Linked DNA regions of Xenopus tropicalis. The protein of the gene in region 1 interacts with the protein of each later gene in a pairwise test. Links are inferred from orthologs where the notes say so. Each region holds a gene or a part of one and is shown in the gene's direction. Other genes may lie near its edges.

Region 1 (3,754 bases):
CAGTATGGGTGTCACTATAAACACTGTAGGGCCACAGTATGGGTGTCACTATAAACACAGTAGGGCCACAGTATGGGTGTCACTATAAACACAGTAGGGCCACAGTATGGGTGTCACTATAAACACTGTAGGGCCACAGTATGGGTTTGACTATAAACACAGTAGGGCCACAGTATGGGTGTCACTATAAACACTGTAGGGCCACAGTATGGGTGTCACTATAAACACAGTAGGGCCACAGTATGGGTGTCTATAAACACTGTAGGGCCACAGTAACCACAGTATGGGTGTCACTATAAACACTAGGGCCACAGTATGGGTGTCGCTATAGACACTGTAGGCCACAGACACTGTAGGGCCACAGTATGGGTGTCGCTATAGACACAGTAGGGCCACAGTATGGGTGTCGCTATAGACACAGTAGGGCCACAGTATGGGTGTCGCTATAGACACAGTAGGGCCACAGTATGGGTGTCGCTATAGACACAGTAGGGCCACAGTATGGGTGTCGCTATAGACACAGTAGGGCCACAGTATGGGTGTCGCTATAGACACAGTAGGGCCACAGTATGGGTGTCGCTATAGACACAGTAGGGCCACAGTATGGGTGTCGCTATAGACACAGTAGGGCCACAGTATGGGTGTCGCTATAGACACAGTAGGGCCACAGTATGGGTGTCGCTATAGACACAGTAGGGCCACAGTATGGGTGTCGCTATAGACACAGTAGGGCCACAGTATGGGTGTCGCTATAGACACTGTAGGGCCACAGTATGGGTGTCGCTATAGACACTGTAGGGCCACAGTATGGGTGTCGCTATAGACACTGTAGGGCCACAGTATGGGTGTCGCTATAGACACTGTAGGGCCACAGTATGGGTGTCGCTATAGACACTGTAGGGCCACAGTATGGGTGTCACTATAGACACAGTAGGGCCACAGTATGGGTGTCACTATAGACACAGTAGGGCCACAGTATGTCGCGTTAGGAATAAGCCGTTACATCACAGACACATAATACAGGGCGAGACCTGGCCGCCACCTTTCCATAACCTAAGTGCCCATGGAATCCTTTCAGCGGTAAATATGAAGAGAATCCCCGGGAACCCTCGTACCCTGGGCTATATCCGACTACTGGTGACGTCCTTGCGCGGTGTCCCCCCCCGTCTGCTGACTACTATTTCAGGGTCGGAGCTATTTTTAGTGCGTGGGGCCCTATTAATAGATCAAACAATGTTGTCTGCGTCATAGGAAACAGCCTGCGTCACACAGATACATTCCAGGAGCACGCTGCCTGTCTGCTACCGGAAAAGCCACGCCCCCCGTGTCCTTCTATGGGGGACGGAGCAGGATCACCCTTGTGCGTCACACACCCCCTCTGACAGGGCCCCGCCCATGTGCGTCACGGAGGCTTTAATAACATGTAGATGCAGGACTGAATCCCAGTGAGCTTGGAGACAGCGACAGCACAGTAACCCATTCCTCTCACTGGCACCGTGCAACACGCTGACCCCAGCGGACAGCCCGTACCGGGGACTTACAGCTGGGAGATCTGGTATGTCAGCTTAGCTTGCCATTCCAATCACAAGGTGCCACAGGGGTTAATAGCTATCTAGATACATCCCTTTGGGAGGTAGACATGCATGCAAGGGGGACAGGTAATTATTTGCAGATTATGTTATTATCATTTTCTATGTATGTGAGTGTATGGCTCCTGCTGGCTGTGTGGGGATCTTTGCATAGACTGCATGGGGTGTGCATTGCTTGCACCGTGTCAGTAGGGCATTGAGATGCCTGTTTCTAGGTTAGTGGGCATCACCTGCACAATTACTCCTTTTCCCCAGGAGATGGCTTTGGGGAGACTGCTTGTACAGGCTGAGGCTGAGAGGAGCCTCTGTGCATTGGGGAGGTTCGATGGCAGCTCTGGCTGCTTTGTACAGCAACAGGTGCAGAGGCTCTCTGCTTTGTATCTCTGCTTTGTATCTCTGCTTTGTACTTCCCTTAGCGGAGACCTGTTCATAATGTGCTCATAGCAATGCACTCTCTGCACACACCTATATGGTGTCCCTCTCTATACATAATAAGTCATGTATTAGTGATATATCCTGCAAACAATATGATATGCATGCTTCTGATCATCAAGATGTATAGATCTTTCCTGTGCTCTGTTGCCCCAGTGTGCACCCTCAAATATAGACCTGAGCTGCAGATTAGGGCAGCCAAGCAGTAGCCCCTTTAGCTGCTGTGCAACTGCAACTCCCACAGACCCTTGACAGTAATTGTTTGCAACTACCCCTTGCTGGGAGTTGTAATCCTGGAATAGCTAGAGGGCTGCCAGTGGGACGTAGCACTGGATTTTTGCTTGGCCTTTTTCATCCTGGTCATGTTGCTTTCCTTATGAAATGTGTTTCATTTGCACAACCTAGGCTCCTTAATGGTTTCTGTTTTTAACCCTTGTTTTGTTGCTTCCATCAAATTTTGCAGTCAGCAGCCATTTCATATATATATATATATATATATATATATATATATATATATATATATACTCTCCCATCAGCTTGCTGTTATATATAAGGATATGCACGCTAAGAAAGTCCAGAAGTATAAAGATCTAATCTTTTTTTTTTTCTTACTGTAAATGAGAAACTCAGATACATTAAAGGGAGGGTTGACCTTTCTGGGACAAATGGGCTGCAGTGCTTTTGTGTTCTTGTGCAAAGTGCTTTCTTGGCTCTCTGCAGTTCCCTATCTCTTCGTACTGGTTGCATTTCCCGTGGGGAAGTCTCTAACCTATAAGGCTTCTAAAACAGTCTTGTTGTGTTGGATCAATATGGCCTTTGTCGACAGCTAAACAACAAATCGGCAGGCCTCCCTCTAGTGCACCTCACAGGGGGAAACAAGTGTTGACCATCCATTGAAAACAATGATGATGGGAGATGGCTCTGAGCTATAGATAAAACAATTTCTTATTTTGTGAAAGCAGCAGCCCCATTCTGAATATTAGTTTTATAAAACATAAAGATTGTTACAGAATTGCACTAAACATATGTTTTGCTTCAAATTACTTTCTGATCTACAGTCCTTTCTGCAATTAAAGGCTTCTGAAGCAAGCCGCCAATTTGTCTTTGGGCAAGTACAGTTTGCTGTATCATAGGAATCACTTGACTTCTATGACACAAGTCAGTGCAGATAATCATGGGAAGCTGAGCTGTCAATCGACACCCTGCTTATTGGAGTGACATACTGTCATGGGGTGTGAACTTCAAGAAGTTGGATGGCAAGTTTCAGCTTTTCTTCCAAAGGATTTCTGTAGACGCTTAAATATTTTAATTCAACAGGTTTTCTGCCAGAACCTAGCAGTTTTTACACATACAGGCTAAAATGTGGTAGAATTAGTACGTATCTTTCAGATACACTGTTATATACAAAAGCTGGTACAGGTGTGGGACCTATTATCCAGAATGTTTGGGACCTGGGGATTTCCAGATCTTTCCATAATTTTGTTCTCTATACCTCAAAAATTGCTATTATTTAAACTACTATTATTTAAATGTGAATTAAACCCAATAGGATTGTTTTGCCTCCAATTACGTCTTAGTTTGTAAGTACAAGGTAATATTGAGTTTGCATCTTAAGGAAAAGTATAATACACTTGTTGTTTGTTTGAGCATATATATTGAAATATAGGTAAAATGCTCCTCAGTCAGTGCCACGGGGCCTCCTAAACCTCCTAGCCCCCACCCTCCAGCACTGC
Region 2 (3,754 bases), about 94 Mb from region 1:
CACTTTTTTTTCTATTTTAATTCCTCCTTTTATTTTAATCATGTGCTTGTGTGTAATTCACATGCTGGCATTGGCTGGAGTTTTAATCATTGAGATTATAATCTTTAAGGCTGAAGACACACGGAGCTACTAGTAGCAGCTTTTTTTTCACAGCTACTAAACACCGCTGACCAATGAATTAAAAATACAAGTTAAATTCCACTGCCCCCCAATTAGCACTTTATATTGATATCTATCTACTTCATTATATGAATGTACCTCCTACATGAACTTTTCAGTAGTTACTGAACAGGACTGGTTACTGGGCCCCACAGTGAGATCACTGGGCCCCTAAACTTACACAGTTCCATATCAAACAATGACAGCACAGAGCAGGGGCAGGTAGGTGGGAGGGGGTTTAACTTAGGGAACTCTACTGACCCCCTATAAACTGAATTACGTTAATCAATGGAACTCTTTATATATACTACTTATTATAGAATAACATCAGCTATTTTATTTATTTTGCATGAATGAGGGGCATGGAAGCTCTGTAACACGACTCTTCTTTGCAGAAAGCGGCAGCTTTATCAGATCCATTTATTCCCTACTACTTCGCCCCCCTATAAACACTGCCAAGTAATCTCTCCCTCTCCAGCAATCTCTCTTGTCCCGCTCATACCAAACACTGCAGGAGGGGAAATGATATCGCGAGAGAAGGCTACCTCCCATGATTCTTTGCTCTCCCGTCTCAGGCGAAAATAGAAATTCTGGTGTCTTACGCAGATTGTAAAAGAAATTGAAAATTTGGTTCAATTTCGTGTAAACGGACTGAAAGAGTTGTTTTTTTTCTGAATGTTTAATGACTTTGCTTTTGATAACAGATAAGTGACAGCACTATAAAGAGTTAACGTTTAAGCCACGCCTTGTGGGCCGGCCCTTATGCTTGCTCCTCCTGGATTTCCATGCACGTCTGTCTTCCCGGATCTGTGAGTGCTGCTTGCCGCTTCAGCTTGTGTATGTGCAATCATGGCTGTGCTGCTCCGGCATTACCTGAGGGGAAGCCCTGTGCTCGGCCTGTGTCTTCTCTTGCTGTCAGCCGCCGCTGTCACCTGTGAGCCCCAGGAGGAGAAGGAGCAGCCTCAAGGCCGGCCTGGCCGCGCTGCCCCGGATGGAGAGTGTCACTTCTACGCAGGGGGACAGGTGTACCCCGGAGAGGCGACCCGTGTGCCGGTGTCCGATCATTCTCTGCACCTCAGCAAAGCAAAAAGTGGGTCATTGTTCTCCCAAAGCTGCTTCCCGCCCTTCCAGCGATTCTCTCGCAGAGACACAGGCCAAGGGATAGCGAGTGACTTTGTTGTAGGCAATGCTGTGGGTTGGCAAGCTGGCATTACACCGGGGTATTGCTGGGTATTGCCCAGTGAGGGGGGGCACTGCTTTTCTTTTGCATCTCTGCCAAAAGTCTCTGCGCTTTGTGTAGCACATACCATTGGCTAAGGACACGTAAGTCAAATCCTATTGGTCGCTGTGGCTGCATGCAGCTGGATCCTGTCACACTGCTTGTGCATCTGCCTTATTATAGAATTGCTAGGAACAAGCATGGGCAAATGTCCAGTCCTACTATCAGAGGGCCCCCCTGGGTGGGAACCCTTATATTTGCCAATGATTACCTTACTTGCAGCCCTCCAGCTGTTGCTGAGCTAACTCCAGAGTACACACACAGCTGACTGGCAGTGTACTGCAGAAATCATTTCATTTCTTCCCCCCCCAATGCAGGAATAATCAAGTTAATCTTGACTCCCTCCATTTCCTTATTTCACCTCTGTTGCGCTACAATGCAGACTTAGTGCCGGTTTGCTCAAATGCAATCAGTGCAGTGTCGGACTGGGACCTCAGGGGCCCACCAGAAAAACCTTAGACCAAATGCCCACTCTCCAAACTATTTTTCCTCCTTTCCTCTTTATTCTCCTAGTCTCTTTTATTTACATGCTAGCATCTATTCTTCCATCTATTTCTCCTCTTTGTTCCCATTCAGAAATAGAAAATGGCCATGAGGCAGCTCATATGTTCAGGAGCAGGAGGGCCCACTGACACCTGGGCCCACCGGGAGTTTTCCTGGTATCCTGGTGGGCCAGTCCGACACTGAATCAGTGCAAGTTAGAAGTGGGAAAGCTCCAGATTTATTTAGCATGGGCAAGTGATAGCCAAAGGCAGCATAGGCCAATGATCTATATAAGCTGCCAATAAAGAAAAAGACTGCATGTGGAAGTACAGACAGACTGCATGGGGTGGGGTGGAGGGTAGTAAAGAGTCTCTCAATATTTCAGAAACTTGCAGAATTTTTAAATGTTTGCACTTGCAAGTTTCTTGCATTAAATGTTTATTTTCATTATAGTTCCTCCCTAATAAAAATGAGTATATCTAATTGCTGTTTTGTCTCTGCGTTTCTGTAGTTTCCAAGCCTGCGCCATACTGGGAAGGAACAGCAGTGATAAATGGAGAGTTCAAAGAGTTGAAACTTACAGATTATAAAGGGAAATATCTGGTGTTCTTTTTTTATCCTCTTGATTTGTGAGTATAATGTTCATCTGCTCCTTTTATTTTTGTTTGTATTTTGCATATTTACTCAGCATTGCTAAATCCAGTGGTCACTTCTAATCTTTCTTGACCTATCGTGGTTGCTGTATGAAGTAGTGGGGCCTGCCAGTGATGGACTGGGGTAACTGGCCCTACCAGAAACCCCACTTCACCCTCTGTATACCTTCCTTCTCTTTCACCTATACACTGTTTACCTGCAGTGTACTTTCAGCCAACACCCAACCACTGCAAACAACCAACCACAGAAAACCGTTCCTCACACCTGAAAGGCTAGCTCCCATTCTGCCCAAACCCCAACCCAGTCTGCCAAAATCCTAACCGTTCCACAGAGCACCATCTCAGTCTGAACTAATCCAAAACTGAATGGATCAGCTTTCTGTCTGCCCCTGGCTATATGTCCCCATTTCTGTTTCTACTGATAGCATGCATTAACCCTGCTGACCCAGCAACTGTCTGGGAGTAACCTTTGATTTTTTTCCTGTATCCTTCTGTAATCACACAAACACCATGGTCAAATCCTGTCATTTTTGTCTGTGCAATCTTATATAAAAATTTTGAGTTTTAGTTCTTTGAAATAAATATATAATATACTGTGTTGAATAAAATCAAGCCCTACGTGCATTCTGTTGTGCAGTGTGTGAATAATTACAGCTGTGCTTCAAAACTGTTAATCATTTACTGTGAGGATCTGATACATATATATAATAGAATATAAAGCTTCACTGCACTGCCAGCTTCTATAGGATAACTTACATTTCCCCATATAACTAAAAAACAATTTTGTATATTGGTGCTTATGGACAGCAGAAATGTTATCCTGGAGTTGACTGATCAAATGTTAAATTGGGAATTCCAGCAGTTAGATTTGTATCAACTTTATTAAAACAAAACAATTTTAACCAATAAATGTATACTATCCCTTTGAAAAATACCCATGTCCCCCTGCATGTTTATTATTTTCAAAGATTTAGGCATAAATACATAAATTCCCTCTTTTTTTGTGTAGTAACTTTTATAACAGGGCAATTGGGTGACAGGGACACTGCTGTATTATATTTCACATATAATATGCATACATCTCACTCTCACATCCTTTCCTCCAACTTCTGGCTGTAACTGGAAGGCCATAGCTCTGCTGTACAGAGAAGGATACAGATTTCTCCATACAGGCCTTGCA

Evidence for each region. The genes of interacting proteins can lie anywhere in the genome.
Region 2: the proteins of nr4a1 (region 1) and prdx4 interact in a two-hybrid assay, tested with the Homo sapiens proteins (2 studies listed by BioGRID and IntAct). The link is inferred for Xenopus tropicalis from reciprocal best matches to the Homo sapiens genes NR4A1 and PRDX4.

The regions. Positions count from the first base shown.
Region 1 is NC_030678.2:135,308,863-135,312,616, forward strand, and holds the start of nr4a1 (nuclear receptor subfamily 4 group A member 1), read left to right. Parts: upstream 1-1,477; 5' UTR 1,478-1,639; coding exon of another isoform or gene 1,640-1,658; intron 1,659-3,754. UniProt on the Homo sapiens protein: Orphan nuclear receptor. Binds the NGFI-B response element (NBRE) 5'-AAAGGTCA-3'. Binds 9-cis-retinoic acid outside of its ligand-binding (NR LBD) domain.
Region 2 is NC_030678.2:41,365,650-41,369,403, forward strand, and holds the start of prdx4 (peroxiredoxin-4 precursor), read left to right. Parts: upstream 1-935; 5' UTR 936-1,008; coding exon 1,009-1,249; intron 1,250-2,432; coding exon 2,433-2,550; intron 2,551-3,754. UniProt on the Homo sapiens protein: Thiol-specific peroxidase that catalyzes the reduction of hydrogen peroxide and organic hydroperoxides to water and alcohols, respectively.